4 linked regions of the Caenorhabditis elegans genome follow. The protein of the gene in region 4 interacts with the protein of the main gene of each other region in a pairwise test. Each region holds a gene or a part of one and is shown on either strand. Other genes may lie near its edges. The genes, in order: popl-4, D2023.4, swt-3 and osm-3.

The links.
Region 1: the proteins of osm-3 (region 4) and popl-4 interact in a two-hybrid assay, tested with the Caenorhabditis elegans proteins (one large-scale study listed by BioGRID).
Region 2: the proteins of osm-3 (region 4) and D2023.4 interact in a two-hybrid assay, tested with the Caenorhabditis elegans proteins (one large-scale study listed by BioGRID).
Region 3: the proteins of osm-3 (region 4) and swt-3 interact in a two-hybrid assay, tested with the Caenorhabditis elegans proteins (one large-scale study listed by BioGRID).

What each region holds. Positions count from the first base shown.
Region 1 is NC_003279.8:12,211,423-12,215,745, forward strand, and holds popl-4 (Ribonuclease P protein subunit p29), read left to right. Parts: upstream 1-1,683; 5' UTR 1,684-1,707; coding exon 1,708-1,762; intron 1,763-2,517; coding exon 2,518-2,644; intron 2,645-2,695; coding exon 2,696-2,852; intron 2,853-3,154; coding exon 3,155-3,230; intron 3,231-3,495; coding exon 3,496-3,677; 3' UTR 3,678-3,776; downstream 3,777-4,323. Other genes in the region: C15C6.3 (YTH domain-containing protein), read left to right, coding at 378-784.
Region 2 is NC_003283.11:11,824,517-11,827,682, reverse strand, and holds D2023.4 (Thialysine N-epsilon-acetyltransferase), read left to right. Parts: upstream 1-1,920; 5' UTR 1,921-1,963; coding exon 1,964-2,029; intron 2,030-2,078; coding exon 2,079-2,166; intron 2,167-2,207; coding exon 2,208-2,284; intron 2,285-2,332; coding exon 2,333-2,584; 3' UTR 2,585-2,650; downstream 2,651-3,166. Other genes in the region: D2023.6 (ABC1 atypical kinase-like domain-containing protein), read right to left, coding at 1-59, 112-222, 274-315; Putative thiosulfate sulfurtransferase mpst-1, read left to right, coding at 621-802, 848-1,449, 1,496-1,698. UniProt on the Caenorhabditis elegans protein: Catalyzes the N-acetylation of the amino acid thialysine (S-(2-aminoethyl)-L-cysteine), a L-lysine analog with the 4-methylene group substituted with a sulfur. Substrate specificity: thialysine > O-(2-aminoethyl)-L-serine > S-(2-aminoethyl)-D,L-homocysteine.
Region 3 is NC_003282.8:10,778,465-10,782,579, forward strand, and holds swt-3 (Sugar transporter SWEET1), read right to left. Parts: upstream 2,220-4,115; 5' UTR 2,144-2,219; coding exon 2,052-2,143; intron 1,997-2,051; coding exon 1,383-1,996; intron 1,224-1,382; coding exon 862-1,223; 3' UTR 521-861; downstream 1-520.
Region 4 is NC_003282.8:3,795,854-3,802,255, reverse strand, and holds osm-3 (Osmotic avoidance abnormal protein 3), read left to right. Parts: upstream 1-1,808; coding exon 1,809-1,880; intron 1,881-3,157; coding exon 3,158-3,304; intron 3,305-3,354; coding exon 3,355-3,546; intron 3,547-3,586; coding exon 3,587-3,778; intron 3,779-3,826; coding exon 3,827-4,090; intron 4,091-4,365; coding exon 4,366-4,915; intron 4,916-4,963; coding exon 4,964-5,067; intron 5,068-5,111; coding exon 5,112-5,379; intron 5,380-5,514; coding exon 5,515-5,682; intron 5,683-5,727; coding exon 5,728-5,870; downstream 5,871-6,402. Other genes in the region: algn-14 (UDP-N-acetylglucosamine transferase subunit ALG14), read left to right, coding at 1-263; K09B3.1 (ShKT domain-containing protein), read right to left, coding at 6,002-6,090, 6,133-6,267, 6,315-6,374. UniProt on the Caenorhabditis elegans protein: Kinesin motor protein which is required for the anterograde intraflagellar transport (IFT) along the middle segment of the sensory neuron cilia together with the kinesin II motor complex (composed of klp-11, klp-20 and kap-1) and on its own, is required for IFT along the distal segment.

The sequences.
Region 1 (4,323 bases), on a different chromosome or scaffold from region 4:
ATTTACGTGGCTCTCGTGTACTCCTCGAGGAGAAGATTTCGCAAATTTTGGCTTTTTCAATACAAAAATTAGATTTTTCTATTGATTTTCTATTAAAAACCAACACGAAGATTTTTCGAACATTTTTCTCGGCAAAAATTGAAAATTTGAAGAAAAATTGCAGAAATTCATTGGAAAATTTCCCAAAAAAATTCCAAAAAATCAAAAAAAAAATCGCATAAATATATCAGAAAAATTAGAACATTTAATTTTTTCCAAAAAAAATTTTTTTTCGAAAAAACGTCAAAAAATATAAAAAAAAAACGAAAAAATAGTGATTTTCTTTGAAAAAATCAGAAAAAATCGCCAAAATTATTCAAAAATTAATTTTTTTCCAGATTCCTCCAGCTCCAAACTTCCATCTCGCTACCGCCAAAAACTTCCAACGGAGCAAGAGAAAATCAGCTCCGATGAGGATGAGCCAGCGGAGCCAATTGCTCAAAAAGCTGCAGCTCCAGTGAGCCCAAATCCAGCTTCATCGCGCTCCGCATCACCGGAGCCAGCTCAGCAAGTCGATGAGCTTCTGGAATCCGAAGAAGCTGCTCCACCACCACCACCTCCACCGCCACCAGAAAATGAGCCGGAGGAATTTCCACCACCACCACCGTCGATTTCGATTCGGGAAACGAAGAAACAGTTGAAAATGCGGCTGAAATCAATCAATAAAATGCTGGAAATTCAAAAATCCTCCCCGTTGCTCGAGGGAAATTCATCGGAGAGCTCGGCCACGGCGACTGCTCAATGAGCACTAATTTCTTGGGATTTTTAATTCAAAAAGTTGAAAAATAGTCTAAAAAGCTGAAAAAAACCGAGCAATTTCGCTGATTGGTCCAAAAGTGGGCGGAGCGAATCGCTGATTGGTCGCAGTTGAATTTTTCATTTTTTGTTTTTTTTTCAATTTTTTGAAGCAAAATCCCTAGAAATAAATTAAATTTCATATTTTATTTATTTATTCCCCATCTCCTCCCACCCACATCTAAAGTGCAATAGAGCACGCTTTCTCTCTCTCGTTTTTGCTACGGTTTTTCAATTTTTCCCTTCTTTTCTCTCTACCAAAATCGCTATAATATTTTTTTTTAATTGGGTTTTTTCAATTATTTTACCCCGAACCCCCCCTCCCCGTCGGTTTTTGTGATTGTTTAGAAATATTTTTATGTGTGGTTTAGTTTTTGAAACTTTTTCTGTTTTTTTTTTGTCTATATAAATACAATATCTGGGAATTTTTAAAGATTTTTTGTGTATTTTTTGGGTTTAGAGACGATTTAATATTCAGAAAATGACTTATTTCTTTTTAAAAACTACTATTTGAATATATGGAAGAGCTGGCCGTGTAAAACCTCTTCCACGGCCATGTGTCGATTTACAAGACTCGTGTACTCCCCGTGGAGAAGATCTTGCAGTTATTTGCTATTTTTCACTTAAACCACTAAACGAAACAAAAAATAATTTTAAAAAGTGTAAAACCACGTATTTTGAAAAAAAAGGAAAATCTTCTCCTCGGGGAGTACACGAGCTGCGTAAATCTACATTTCACCGATATTTCCCAAAAAAATTCGAAAAAAAACCATCAAAATTGATGAAATTTTTGAAATTGTTCCCAGAAATTTGAAAAAAAATACAATTTTACTAAAATATCCGTTTTTTTCCAGAATTCTATCGAAAAAAAAAATGAGCAAAGACGTACGAATTGGAGAGCCAGGAGAATCCACGTCTCGGGGAGGAGGTAATTTTCAATTTTTGAGAAAAAAATAAATTGAAATTTTGAACTAAAAATGATAATTTTCCGTAAAAAATTGGAAAAACAATCAAAAAATCGTCAAAAAATCAATAAATTTACGAAAAAATCGATAAATTTTCCGTAAAAATCAATTTTTTTGGAAAAAACCTTCGAAAAGCCAATAAACTTAAGTTCAATTGAAAAAATCTATAATAAAATAAATAAATTTCTCAATCTCTTTTTTAAAAAATCGATAATATTCCGTAAAAATCCAAATTTTAAAGAAATCTTCGAAAAATCAATGAATTCGAAAATCGATAATTTTTTTTCAAAAAAAATCGATAAAATTTCAGAATAATCAATAATGTTTAGAAATGAATGATTTTTCGCAAAAATCAAAGAAAAAATATTCGAATAATCAATAATTTTATAAAATCAATATTTAATTTTCCCAAAAAGTCGATAAATTTTCGGTGAAAATCGATAATTTTTCAAAAGTCAATAAATTTTCAAAAAAATCAATAATTCAAAAATTTCGTAAAAAATCTGAAAAATTTTGAAAAAAAATCAATCATTCAAAAAAATCGATACCTTTTCAGAAAATCCGCTACCTCACCTGATAATCGATACATTTTAGCCGATTTAAAACCGATTTAATTCCGAAAAAATCAATAATATTTTTCAAAAAATCGATTTAAATACGGACAAATCATCAAATTTTCAGAAAATCAATAATTTTCCTTTAATTCCTCGATTTTCAGGAGATCGTCTCGGAGTCTTACATCTCGAAAAAAATGTGACCAGTCACTTCAAAAGAAAATCCAAAAAAACGGAAAAAACTAATTTGACACGTGGAAGACTCACCGAAGACGACAAAAAAGCGTTCAAGTTCGTAGATTTTCGAATTTTTTCGAAAAAAATCCCTTAAAAAAATTACAGATTCGCTGATATCGTTCCAATGAACACAGATTGGCAGAAATATTTCCGCGAACGACTCGGAAATCACTTTTCAAGTACGAAAATCGAGAAAACTATTCTAAAATCAGATTATCATGGAGCTCTGCTGACAATTTGGCTTGCCGAGAATCCCACACAGGTAATTGTGTACTCCACGAGGAGTTTACGCGGGAATTTATTGATTTTTTCTTGGAAATTTGTTGATTTTCCGATAAAAAATTATCGATTATTTTGCGTTAAAAAATATCGATTTTCGCGAAAATTTATTGATTTTTCGATAAAAAAAATTATCGATTTTTTGAGTATTTACTGTTACTGTTTTTCCTAAAAATTATCAGATTTTTCCGAGAAATGTTTTTTTTCATAAAATATATATACTTTTTGAAAAAAAAAAACTTTTTTGCTGAAAAAAAAAATTATCGATTTTTTGAACTTTTCCAGATTGGAATTAGCGGAATCGTCGTTCTCGAGACACGCCACACATTTCAAATGGTCACACAAGAGGATCGATTCGTTGGTAAGTGGGTCTCGCCACGATCTTCGGGCGGGAATTCGAATTTCGCGCGGCCACACCGAAAGGCGAATCTGCGGAAACGGGATCTGCCAGCGTTTTTCTCGAAGAACAACGCTATAACGATTCCCGGCTCAACAACACGCGTAACACCGGAGCATCGTTGTAACGTATTTTTTTCGAGAAAATGCTGGCACAGACCCCATCCCCGCAGATTCCCTTTTCCGTGGGGTCTCCGCGGCCCGGCGGGAATTCAAATTCAAATTTTCAGTAATTCCAAAGAAGGGCTCCGTCTTCCGATTCATCCTTGGTGATCGTCTCTTCTCACTGTTCGGCGACGGAATGCGTACTCGACCGGCGTGGCGCGGCAAAAAGCCACGTATCAAGCGTCTGCTGCCAACTTTCATTCGAGGAACTCTTCAGACCGTACCTACCGTCTCCACGAAGGATTAATTTGAATTTCTGAGAAATTTCCCTGTTTTTTTTCCGTTTTTTGTTGTCTGTTTTTGAAAAGGAAATAATAAAAATTCTGAATTTGAAAAACTCTGTGATATTGGACAATTTTCATGAGAATTTATTGATTTTTTGAGACTAACATCAGTTTCCTCACGTGGTGTCAGTATGTCCCATGTCGGTTTGATCTACAAAAGTGCGGGAATTTTTTCCCAGAAAAAAAACAAGTGAAATTAGCTGAGATGTCTGCGTCTCAACTCCCGCTTTTTTCGAAGATCAAACCAACATGGGACATTCCGACACCACGTGTTTCTTTGGAAATTTATCGATTTTTCGAAAAATTATCGATTTTTGACATTTTTTGCAATTAAAAATTGAAAAAAGGGAAATTCAACGTGTGAACTCAATAAAATTGTAAATAAATTGTAGAGTTCAAATTAGATTTTTAAAGTTTTTTCGATCATTCCTCGTTGCAATCACGATTTTGGTGGTTTTAACTAATATTTCGGTTTATATATTCTATATTTGTAAAGGTTAGTTATTTTTTGGGTTTGGCTTCCATGGGATTCAGGCGCGGTTTGGGCGCCTTTTGAAGCGGCCGACACATTTTGAGTTCCGCACCGTTTTAAACAAAAGGCGCGGGTCG
Region 2 (3,166 bases), on a different chromosome or scaffold from region 4:
GAAGATGGCTCTGGAAGTCCACGCAATGAAGTTTTGTAGTCAATTACAATTTTCCCTACCTGAAAATTCAGATCGAAATTTTTTGTAAACAGTTTAGTTTAAACAACTTACGGTTGAAGCAGCTCTCCCAAATCTCAGCAGTCCTAATTGTCTTAAGTCTTCAACGGAATCTACCGTGTACGCTGTATAGCCTGCTCCAGCTCCAGTTCCCACAAATAAGACCTTGAAAACGTTTTTAATTAATACGATGCTTTGAAAACTTAAACAACTTACTTTTGTGAGTGGCTTAAACGCCAGTATTTTTCTAATAATCATGACACCGGGCTGAAAATAACTGAAAATGATGGAAATTCATCTCAAAAAATATCGACGCAAGTGCGCTCCATTGATTGCAGAGAGAGTATGTGTATTCTGGAGGTCAGAGACATTTTTGAAAACAGTTTTTATTTTGCAAAACAGTTTTGAAATCAAAGTTCTTGCTGTTTTCAGAATGTTCTTCTTTGCCTTTTTTTCATTTTTAAGTAATTTTTTTCTCAGTAAAAATATAAATCTCTTTAAACGGTTTATGTTCAGTGTCTTTTCGTAAAATATTTTAAAAATTATTAACAATTACAGTAATTATGAGTCTCAAAAAAATAATCGATGTAAAATCAGTTAACACTCTTCTGAAAAAAGGAATTATCAATAAAGAAGGAGTGCGGATCATTGATTGCTCATTTGCTGTGGCGCCGCGTCCAGATTGGAAAGAATTCGAACAAGAGGGTTATGGCGATTTCAAGAATCTCATGGCTGAGCCCAGCCCGTATGTTTATTCAAATTTTAATTTAAAAAAAAACAAAATTTGAAGGTCCCGGAACTTGTACCTGGCTGGACACATTCCGGAAGCTGTGCATGTGGACCTGGACATTGCCACATATCCATCTCGTTATCAAAGATTCCAACAATACCGCGCGGATCTTTTCGAAGAATATGCTCAAATGGTTGGATTGAACAATAAAGAACATTTCATCTTTTACGGAAAAGGAGCATTTGGTGGAATGCTTTTTGCTTCAAAGGTTGCTTGGATTTTCAAATCCTATGGCCATGAAAACATTTCTCTTGTCGATGGAGGATTTGATTCATGGAAAAGAAATGGATTTGAAGTATCTACAGAACTCGTAAAATTGCCTGCAGGAAACTTTAAAGCTGAAGATAATTTCAAAAAATATGTCATCACATTCCAAGAACTCGAAGCTAAAAAAGACGGCGAAGATAAACAGTTTATCGAAAAAACATCAGAAATTAACTTTCTGGACAGCAGAATTCGTGGTCAATTCGATGGAACTCAAGAGACCGGTCTTGATCCACATCTTGTAAACGGCACTAGAATCGCTGGTTTCAAAAATCTACCTAGTGCAGAGCTTCTTGTGAAAGGCGGAAATTTGAAAAGTGAAGAAGAAATCAAGTCATGTAAAAGATAATGAGTTTTCCGATAATCTCAACTTTTCTAATTTAGGGCTCACTCAAAACGGATATGTTGAAAATCAACCGACAATCACATCCTGTAATGCTGGAATTCAAGCAGCACTTTTGGCGTACGTAATCGATGCTGTGAAGCCATCACAGAATCCTCCCCGCGTATATAATGGATCCTTAAAAGAGATGGAGCTTCGAGCACCGAAGAAAATTTCGGAGGGACCACAGCATTTGCCTCATTAATGTTTAGTTTTGTAGGATTTTTCTTTTATTCAATTTTCATAGATAGATATTGTTGTTATTTTGTTTCTTACTTCATAAAATTTTGGAATAATTTTATTCATTTTTCCTTTTAAATGGTTACTTGACTACCATTCAGACTATTTAGTTGAAAAATCTCGAACATCAGAAACCACTGATATCGAAAAATGATTTTTCATCTTCATTGTGTGATAAGAATTTCAGTTCATAACTTTTGAAAATTGTTCTTCACTTTTATCGTTAAAGTATGAAAAACTTCGAAATTGTCACCGTTACCCCGGATCATGCCGAACAACTCATTTCAATGATTCATGTAGGTTTATTTCTTCTTCTTTATTTGAAAAGAAAATAAACATTTGCAGGAGCTCGCGGAGTTTGAAAAAATGAAGAGCAGCGTGGTGAATACTGCCGAGAAATTGAGAAAAGATATTGAAAACAAGGCAGTGCATGGTACGATTTTGATTTTTAATTGATCATAAATCGAAATTTAGGATTCATTGCATTTATCGGAGAGGAGCCAGCTGGAATGAACCTTTTTTACTATGCATATTCAACATGGGTTGGGCAGGTATTTATGAAACAGTACTGAAATTCAACCAAAAAATCATCATTTCAGTATCTTCACATGGAAGATCTCTACATTCGACCTCAGTTCCGACGAATGGGACTAGCAAGAACTCTGTGGAAGAAGCTGGCTGAGTTGGCTCGAGACAAAGGAATTGTTCGTCTCGAATGGGCAGTTCTCGATTGGAACAAAAATGCGATTGCTCTGTACGACACTGTTGATTATGTAAATTTGACAAAGAGCGAAGGATGGTTCACTTTTCGAATGGACGGTGCGGCGATAAATAAATTTGCTGATGAATAGATATGTTACTTTTATTGGTATAGAACTTTTGAAATGTTCTGCAATTTAAATAAAGTTATTTATTATAGATTTTTTGAATTTTTAAATTTTTATTTTTACCGGATATTCTCAACCCGTGTGAATTATTTCAACCTCCCAATATTATCGATATTATCTTCTAATTTCCCTAAAATTAAAATTGTGTGAGTCGCCCACATTTTTTGGCAATTTACAGATTGACCTTTTCTCCTTTTCTGTATGACACTTCCTATCGCGTACTAGAGATTTCTGTGCTTTTGATCTTATCGATTTTGATCGGATTACCAGTTCAAAATTGTTTTACCACACTGATTACTTCTGGTTTTTTGATCCTTCATAGCAAAGTTTCAGCACGATCTATATTTGTTTCTTCTCATTTTGACACTCAGAACTTTCTGGGTTTAATTGATAAGCGAGAGGAACAGTACCCAAATTTTAAGAAAATCTATGCCACCTATGTTAGAGTTATCTATTATAAATTTAAACAAGTTGCCATATCCAGAAAATTATCATAATATCCTTTTATGGAATCTTCTGAAAATTTAAATTATTTAATGTTCTAAT
Region 3 (4,115 bases), 7.0 Mb from region 4:
TTAACTCTTGAAATAAATAGGTATATGATATTCGCAATTTACTTTTTGTTCATCTTGATTGAATTTGCAACTTGACGCTATTTTTCTTTACAATGAAATATTATTCTGTACCTACGAGGATCTTTTATCGGATTTAAAATTGAAGACAATCTGACATTAAAAAAGCAGGAATGCTTTACAGAGCGGAATTTAGTCTGAAACCAACATGGTTTAATTACTCTCGAAAATTAGATAGTATTAAAAATGCCATATCTTGAATTTCATTGAAGTTTTCTTTTTAAAATCGGTGTTCGTTGGAGAATCCGATTTGTATGCATTATATTTTTCATTGTATTATATTTTAAGTTGTCCCACTAAAATCTATGTAATTTTTGGATTTTCAGAACCACTAAATCTCAAATTAATTGTTGTTTAGATTAATTTTTTGGTAAACTCGTCAGATGCCAACTTTATCTCTTAAACCCCCTAATTTCAGCTGCGGAGCTGGGTTGTCCAGCTCAAATCGATTTAAAACAAAGATCAAGCTTTAAAACTTTATGAGAAATTCAAAAAAGAAGGCACCCGTCATTCGGTAAATTATGCCATTCAAAAAGTGAATGGGAGAGTCATAGAAGCAAAAAGTCAATTGCACACAATTACAGTGTCAAGTCACCTCAAGTAGAGGCGGGTCATCATGAAAAAAACATCAAAAAAATGTAATAAAAATGGGTTAAAAACATGAAAAAGAAGGGTATCTTTGCAACATGGGGGACTGAATTGAATTATTATAGAACAGTTTGTTCTAGTCTTGTTGAGATTGAGATTCGAGAAAAAAGCTCTTAGCTTGAGATGAACGTGGTGATGAAGATCAAAATATGAAAGTTACTCGGAAAGATCCGGTGAGCTGATGGTTCTTCGGAGAGCATTTTCTCGAGCATCCTGTGCTGCTCGCAATGCGTTTCTCATTTTCCTTTCTCTGTCAGCATCCTTCAATTTATCTACAGCTGTAACTGGAGCCTTCTTAGTTTCATCAACTGTTTCCACAGTCTTCTCACTGGATGAATCCTCATCTCCGATCTTATGAGTATAAGCGAATTGATCCTTTGTTGGCAATTGGTAGATGACATTTTCAAGCTCTTCAGCAACAGTGGAAACATTCATCTTGATCTTTTGGGACCATCTCTGAGCTCTGTTCATCTTCTTGTCATCCTTCTCATCACATTCTCCGAGCTCGGCAACAATTTCTGAAAGAAAAAATGATTATGTTTTCTGCTATCAATTTTTTGCTATCAGTAAGAAAAAGATGCTTCCTGGTTATAAATTGATCAAAAAACAAGATTACTTGTTTTTTTTTCTACAGACTAGGTGCTTATCAATTTCTGATAGATTTTCGGTCAATGTACCTTTGGTCTCTTCCACTCGGACTCCACGGATCCACAACCAAAGTCTGACGATTGGGGCACGTTGTCCTGGTTTTCTTGGAAGAACGATGAACAAGAGAAGTTGGATGAAAGCAAGAAGAGATCCAACTCCATTTGGGAAAATAAGGTAGAAATCGTTCTTGAGGAGACCGTACAGGAACCATTCAGTTGACACAAGGAAATTGGCAATGCACAATGGAAGTGGAAGAGTTGAAGTTGCCCAACGACGGATTACGACTCGGATTCCACCAAGAGGAGCTGCGAAATCAGCAATGTTCAGGGTGAGGCAAACGATTCCAAGTGGATGGAAGATCTTCATTCCGAAGAAGTGAACAGCGAGCACCAAACTCGTGCAGATTCCAATAACTCCGAGAACTTTCAAAGAAATGTAGAGCTTCTTCTTGGTCATGCACCAATAGAAGATGGTGTATGTTGTGTACAGAATCACTTGACATCCGGTAACCCATTTCACAGTTCCATCATTTTTTAACCATCCATAAGTCATCCAGCAGCATCCTCCAACAACTCCCATTAGGAATGGAGCTCCAGAGATTTCTTTTGTGTCTTTTCTCTTCCAGATTTGTCGACATATTGGACTGAAATACTTGGAATAAATATAAATAATTTTAACTTGAATAAAAATCCACTTACATTCCACAGAAGAAAAGACCGACTGTAGTAAAAAATGCAAGAATAGAAAGAAGATTGAGAAGGGAAAAGCCTTGAGTGAAAATCTCGAACATTATGTTCAGAGAGTCGATTGTGCTAGATGGCACTTGTAGGTTTGTGGTTATACAAAAAAATGGCAGATAGTCTGTTGATTCTGTCCTTCCCTTCAGTCACTTTTGTATCAACCGTCTTCGCCCCGCCCTCCACCAAGACCTTCGGCGGAGAAGAAGGAGGGGCTATACACACTGTTCCGGGGGGCTAAGGGAAGTGACGCCAATTTCAGTACGGACTAAGATCTCTGAGCTGTTTGTGAGGCATTAGTCATACGGATCAAATGGAGCCAATTCCAGAGAGATCATTGAGAAAAGGGCGTTGACCAGTGAAGTGTACTGGTCATTTTTAATAGTTTAATAGTTCACGAGCCGACACATATTGGACAGTTATTTTTTACAATGATTATTAATTATTTTTGATTTATTCTTTGGGATTTGTAACATATTATTAGTAAGAAAAAGATTTTCAATTATTTTTTATGTTTTTCAAAAAATCTTAAAAATCTTTCAGACCCCTAAGCCCCGATTCTTGTCAGTTTTGGAGGCCTAAAGCAAAACAAAAAAATAGGAGAGAAGCCTTTAGGAAACCTATTTAAGTCCTCAAAAACTAAAAAACTATTAGAAAACTCATTGTTGAGCTCAATTCCACATTGGTTCAAGTGTGTTATTTATTTAGAAAACAATCCCCATAGCTCAACTTTTTGGAATCTACAGTAACCTGTTAAGTCCTTTGTTTCCTAGAACCCTAGACAATTGACTCCTTCTCTCTGGCGCCACCATCTGTGTTAACTATTACAAGACTTTTTACACTTCAGACGCACATATAATCAATAGTAGTATACACACACGAAATCTGTATACACGAATCTGTTCTCATTATTTAGGAAACCATGTGAACCACTAACAAGAGAGGCAGAATGATCGGATGAATAAGAAAGCAATGAAATTGATATCACTTGTTATCAAAAACGATGGTTCGCGCTGGCGCGATCCCCATATCTTCGCCATGATTTATAACCGCCGGCACGACACGACTATGTATGCGAGTAGCAGTTACTACTTTAAAGGGGACTGACAGTTTAATTCAAACATTGCTTCATGAAATGAATTTTATTGAATTCAAAGTCTAGTTGAATTTCTTGGGTCTTGGTTTGCAATTTTTAAATATGAACAAGTTTCCAATACTTCCAGAATATATATTTCATGATGTTTCATCCAAAATTTGAAAGAACCACAATCCTCTTTTGGAGCCACTTGCATCAAATATGAAGAATACATTTTGTTCAGGTCATTTCTTGAGCTTGGAGCCTGAAACATTTGGTACATAACCCTACAAGGGCACACTATTTATTTGCCAGTGCTCGTTGCTCTTTCCTGTTCAGTGATAAGGATTACGTCAATGCGTGTGTTGTCTGCTGCCCCATAAGTACCCTAATTTACCCAACCAGCTCTGGATTGCTTCTATATTATTACAACTTGAAAAATGTGAGAAAACGATGAAATGGACGAATCCTGCGCGCGAGACGTCATCTAAAATATCTGTGTGAGAGAGACTGCACGTGTACCGGCCATGTGAAGATGAAAGTACTTATCACATGGAAATGCGGGGGAAATTGAAAGATTTATGACACTTTCCTAATAGAGAAGATATTGGATTGGTTAGAGTACGGTCTATCTAGATGGTTCATCGTGTACCGGCGGGTCAAATCTAAAACTGATCGGCCAATGAGGAACTTAACGAACTGTGGGTGTTTAATAGTTAAGGGAGAAATGGATTTCCGTCACTTACTTTAGTATTTTGATTCATAAACAAAAGTATATGTATTCCCGAAGCCTTACACGTAGGAACAAGGTGACCTACGTTTGTGGCGTGCCTACTGCCAGCTTTTCATGATTAGTATTTTTGTGTAATGACTTTCCGAACAATGAGAAATGTATAAATGTGATGATTGCAGTTTTCGCAAAAACAGAAAAAGCTTTATTCATGTTCCGT
Region 4 (6,402 bases):
GGCCTGGAACCTGTATCCCAGTCGCCTTGGCGGCCGCCTTCTTCGACATAATTCGCCTAATCGATACAGTTATTATCTACGAAGAATCGATTTGCCGAGTGAAAAAGCTCTCCTTATCCGGTGCAATTTTGTATTATCTCGGAATGGTCGACTGCCTGATTGTGCATTGGCCGGGGCTCAAGAAATCGTATCCAAGAGCCACGTATATTCAGGATTTGGAGCACAAATTCACGTTGGATGGCTCGGAGAAAAAATCTCAATAAAAATATTAATTTATGTGTCAATTTTAGGGGGGATTTTGTTTTTAAATGTCGGAAAAATTTTGAAATTTTGAAAAAAAAACTATATTTTCCAAAATTTTTAGTGTTTTGAAGAAAACTTTTCAATTTTCTAGAGAAAAAACCTTTTAATTAAAAAAACACAGAAAGATGGAAATTTGGAAAAAATGATTTTTGTGATTTTTGCAAATTTTGGAAAATTCGTTTTTTTTTCAAAACAAAATGAATTTCACCTTTTTAAAAATTCAGCAAAAGTTAGATTTTTTTTTAATTAATTTTTTTGCAGATTAAATTTTACAATTTTTTATCGATTTTTTTTCAGATTTTTTTCCAAAAATTCACGTTTTTTTACGGATTTCCTCTAAAAAATCATTGAAAATCGAGGTTTGCTTCAAAATTCGGTAAAAAATCGAAAATGTTTTTTAAAAAATCTGAAAATGATTTTTTAGTGGAAAATCTGAAAAAATTTCAAGAAATTTGAATTTTTCAAAAAAATTCGTAAAACTACCGTATATTCTCTATTAGTGCGGCACCCCCATCGCTCACCTTTGACGTCATATGTCTTGATTGATTTTGAAGATATTAAGACCTTTTAAAACATTAAGCATAGAAGGAGTTTTAACAAACATTTCCGTAGTTAAAGACTTTTTACCAAAATCAAAGGTGACCGAGATATGAGCTGTCAAAGTTGAGTGGTGGGGTGCCGCACTAATAGAGAATATACGGTACTTTTTTTTCGAAAAAGAAGTAATAAAAATGTCATTAAAAATTTGGATTTTTCTAAATCGGAAAATTCGTTAATTTTGGCTGAAAATCTAGATTTTTTGAAATTTTCACGAAAAAAGCTTAAAATCCGGCTAAAATTCAATTTTCTTAAAAATTTTTTGTAAAAAATTAAATTTGCCTGAAAATCCGAAATTTCTGGTCAATTTTTTCTACACAAAAAAACCCAAAAACTTCGATTTTCCCGATATTTTTAACCAAAACTTTAACCGATTCTTGTATGTATTTTCTAGCTTTACTTGTCTCTATTGTGCTTTATACGCCCATTTCTTGTACATTCCCGCCATTTCAATATTTCCAAAACTAATTTCCGTTTGAATTTATATGACTTTCAAATTCCAGTCATTTTTCAGCCAAAAACCAATCAGCAATGCGGAAATATCAAAATCGACGGCAGCTTTTATTGAAACAATCGTATATAATTCAATTCCCTCAACCCTAGCGGCAGCGTGGCTCGAAAGAAAAAGAAGAAGCATAACAATATCTGGTTGCTAGGCGCCACCTCCCTCCACTCATTCCTTTGCTCTCGGAGCAGCAGTGGTGTATATGCTCGTTGCTCCGCGCGACACCAAACTCTTTTCGTTTTATTTTTTACTACGTCGTTTTTTTTTTGAAATTTTTTTTTCCGAAAATTTTCAACCTTTGAGCTCTTCACATGTTTTATTACGTCGATTTATGTGAAAAAAAAAATTTTTTTCGGAATTTTTTTTCGGAACATTTTTCAATATTTAAGCTCCCACCAACTGTATGGCAGAGAGCGTCCGGGTCGCCGTAAGATGTCGTCCGTTCAATCAGAGAGAAAAGGACCTGAATACGACGGTTGGTTTTTTGATTGGATTTTCAGAAAAACCAGCTGAAAATCAAACAATTTAGGCCTAAATCGAATATTTAAAGCGCAAAAAAATTAAAATTTCCCAGAAAAACCCGAAAAAATTGAGAAAATGTGGAATTTTCGGCGAAGTTCTTCTTTTTAATTAGCCAAAATCATTCGAAATTGGGAAAATTCTAAATTTTGAGTATATTATTACTTTTCAGTGTTTTCCTATTACAGTGCCAGGTCTTGAAACGACATTTTTTGTAAAATACAAACGGGCGTGCGCCTTTAAAGAATACTGTAATTTTGAACTCTCGTTTTTTTTTGGAATTTTCAAAAAAATACATTTATTTATTGAAAAACTGCTACATAAATTTCACAAATTCGATAAAAATTCACAAAGTCGATAAAAATTACACTACTCTTTAAAGGCGCACAGTTTACAAAAAAAATGAATTTTTGCTCAATTTTCTGTATTTTTCGATCATTTTTTTGTTCGATTTTCCTGATTTTTAATAGAAATTGTGTACTTTGTCGGCAAAATTAACCTAAAATCTAGAAAAAATTGATAATAACCTTTCGATGTCAGAATTTAAATTTTACAGGCCGAGGGTCTCACAGCGATTGAGAGCTAGTTATTGTAGTTTTGAGGCTTTTTTCCTGCTGTTTTAAAAGAGTTAGCTGGAGCTAGGAAAAGTTCGAATGATATCTTTAATAAATTTGAACGTCATAAACAATGTTTTCTTTGAAGAAGCCGTACATAATTGCTGACTAAAAAGTAAAAAGGTATTCGGAAAACTTGTGAAAAAGCGCATGTTTCCCCCTCCCCACATCACCTGCTTCACTGGACACATGTGAATGAAAAAACGTAATAAAACTTGAATATTTATTTTTGGTTTAAACATGGTGGCCGAGTTTTCCTATTTTTCGGCCATGAAAAAAGATGTCACGTAGTTCCGTTTACTTCCTTATTATTGTCTACTATACGATTTACCCCCGTAATTTCCGGGAAAACATGTTTTAATGTTTTTGGGTTACTGTTTCCCTCTAGACTATAATATCCGATACATGCTTAGGTAATATCCGTTTATTTTTATTACGAAAATAGGCAAATATTCACTTCGTAGGCGTGAGAACTCTGGTGCGAAACCGTGGGAATTGTAGGAAACTCTACAAAGTTTTCTGGGGGACTAGGGGTCTTCTTCTAGGGCACTAGAGACTGAAAAGCGCTAGAAATTGACAATTTTCTTCTAGGAACCCTAAAATGTTTCAAAATTTCCAGCTATGCGTCGGAATGACTCCGAACGTTGGACAGGTCAACCTGAACGCGCCGGACGGGGCGGCCAAGGACTTCACGTTCGATGGAGCCTACTTTATGGATTCGACCGGCGAGCAGATTTACAATGATATTGTCTTTCCGCTAGTTGAGGTGAGAAAATTTGAAGATTTCTCCTACCAAAGCTTCTAAAAACCGTACAGAACGTGATAGAAGGCTACAATGGCACTGTGTTTGCCTATGGCCAAACTGGATCGGGCAAGACTTTCTCCATGCAGGGCATCGAAACAATTCCAGCTCAACGGGGTGTGATTCCACGGGCTTTTGATCACATATTCACCGCCACGGCTACGACGGAAAATGTGAAATTCCTGGTGCACTGCAGCTATTTAGAGGTTTCAGATTTTTGATCCCTTCCCTTAAATTTTGCTTTAGATTTACAACGAAGAGGTTAGAGACTTGCTGGGCGCCGACAATAAACAAAAACTGGAGATCAAAGAGCAACCGGATCGGGGTGTCTATGTGGCGGGCCTCTCCATGCATGTTTGTCATGATGTCCCGGCTTGCAAGGAGCTGATGACTCGGGGCTTCAACAATCGGCACGTCGGCGCCACGTTGATGAACAAGGTGGCCCTTGACCTGACTCTTTGACCTGACCTCAATTTCTATGTTCAGGACTCTTCCCGAAGTCACTCAATCTTCACGGTATACGTGGAAGGCATGACAGAAACCGGATCGATCAGGATGGGAAAGTTGAATCTGGTCGATTTGGCTGGAAGTGAGCGGCAGAGCAAGACAGGAGCCACCGGTGACCGTTTGAAGGAGGCCACGAAGATTAACCTATCGCTGTCGGCGTTGGGTAATGTGATATCGGCGTTGGTGGACGGAAAGTCGAAGCATATACCCTACAGGGACAGTAAGCTGACTAGGTTGTTACAGGTAAGGACGATTCATTTTTGAGATGATGAGGTGGTTGTTGGGCCGGGCCATTTGAGCCTAGGTCCTGAAGTCTAGCGCGGTAGGAAATGTATGCTAATATGATAAGTGACGGTAGGGATCCAGACCATAGTCATAAGGTATTTGTGGACCACAATTAATGGAAGTGCTAGCCTAGGCTGTAGGTGACGTAGGGAGAAGGCCTAAGCTAGAACCCAACGATCCAAGCCACTGTCGATCCTGCGACCTAGGACGCTTATCCAACTCAAATTTTCCAGGATTCTCTTGGTGGTAACACAAAGACCATTATGATCGCCTGCGTGTCCCCATCCAGTGACAACTACGACGAGACTCTCTCCACACTTCGATATGCCAACCGTGCCAAGAACATCAAGAACAAGCCGACGATCAACGAGGATCCAAAGGATGCTCTTCTTCGAGAGTACCAGGAGGAAATCGCTCGGCTCAAGTCTATGGTTCAACCGGGGGCCGTTGGAGTTGGCGCTCCTGCGCAGGACGCTTTCTCGATAGAAGAGGAGAGGAAGAAGCTACGGGAAGAATTCGAGGAGGCGATGAACGACTTGCGTGGCGAGTATGAGCGGGAGCAGACGAGTAAAGCGGAGCTACAGAAGGACCTGGAGTCCTTGAGAGCAGACTATGAAAGGGCTAATGCGAATTTAGACAACTTGAATCCGGAAGAAGCGGCGAAGAAGATCCAACAGCTCCAAGATCAGTTTATTGGAGGAGAAGAAGCAGGCAATACTCAGCTGAAGCAAAAACGGATGAAGCAGCTGAAGGAGGCAGAGACTAAAACGCAGAAGTTGGCAGGTAAGAACTTCTAGAACTTCAGCAAGTCTTGCACGCAGTAAGTTTCAGCCGCGTTAAACGTTCATAAGGATGATCCTCTGCTTCAAGTCTACAGTACTACTCAAGAAAAACTTGACGCAGTTACTTCTCAACTGGAGAAGGAAGTCAAGAAAGTAAGTCCCTCCAGTTTTACAAAGTGAATAGTGGAATGTTTCAGTCCAAAGGTTACGAGCGAGAAATCGAGGATCTCCACGGCGAATTCGAACTGGATCGTCTCGATTATCTAGACACAATTCGGAAGCAGGACCAGCAGTTGAAGCTCCTTATGCAGATTATGGACAAAATCCAGCCGATCATCAAGAAAGATACGAATTATAGTAACGTGGATCGGATAAAGAAGGAGGCGGTGTGGAATGAAGACGAGAGTCGATGGATTTTGCCGGAAATGTCGATGAGTCGGACTATTCTGCCGTTGGCTAATAATGGTAGGTCTGGATTTGATTAGATTGCAGGCCTCACTGCTAAGCCTGAGCTTTTCCAAGAAACATGTAAGGCGGGATTGCCAAAAAGCGGCCGATTATTCTAGCAATTTGGGATTGCTTTATTCTTCCATCTTTCAGGTTATATGCAAGAACCTGCTCGGCAAGAGAACACCTTATTACGGTCTAACTTTGACGACAAACTACGCGAGCGGCTAGCGAAAAGTGACTCGGAAAACCTGGCAAACAGCTACTTCAAGCCAGTGAAGCAGATCAATGTGATCAACAAGTACAAGAGTGATCAAAAATGTGAGTTAGACCCCTTAGACCTTGCAAAAAGTCAAAAAGTTTCAGTATCAACTTCCAAATCGCTATTTCCATCCAAGACCCCAACATTCGATGGTCTTGTCAACGGAGTCGTCTACACTGATGCTCTCTACGAGCGGGCTCAATCTGCAAAACGACCACCTCGACTAGCCTCTCTGAATCCCAAATAATTCGTGTGTACATTGTGATGTTTAGAAATTTGCTGAATAGTTTGCACGGGTGATATCGAGAATAAAATTAATGAATGTGAGATCTTTATCAATTTTATACAGGTAGCATAAATAGATTCTAATCCAGTTGATCACCGGCTCGGCAACTGCTCACTTTTCGCTTTCGTCAGTATACCAATGCTCTTGGAACTACTCGATGGAGTTGGTTGTCGGAGGATCCCTGAAGAAAATTTTAAGGTTGCAAGTGCGCTCTAAGCCTCACCAGTTTCGTAAATCGATCTCCCGATGAATTGAGCAAGGGGGTCTAACAAACCGGCTTGGGGGTATCCCATCCCTCCGTACCCTCCAAATGGGTTGTAGGACCCCATGGACCCGAGAGCTCCAACACCTGTGCTGCCTGAAACAAAACTCTAATAGTAGCGCACGCCCTGAACGACTACTTACAAGTTCCACAGGACATTGCACACGTCTGCCGCATCATCATTGGATTTGTAGAGCATTGGCCTGAAAAAAACTACAAAATTTCTGCTAG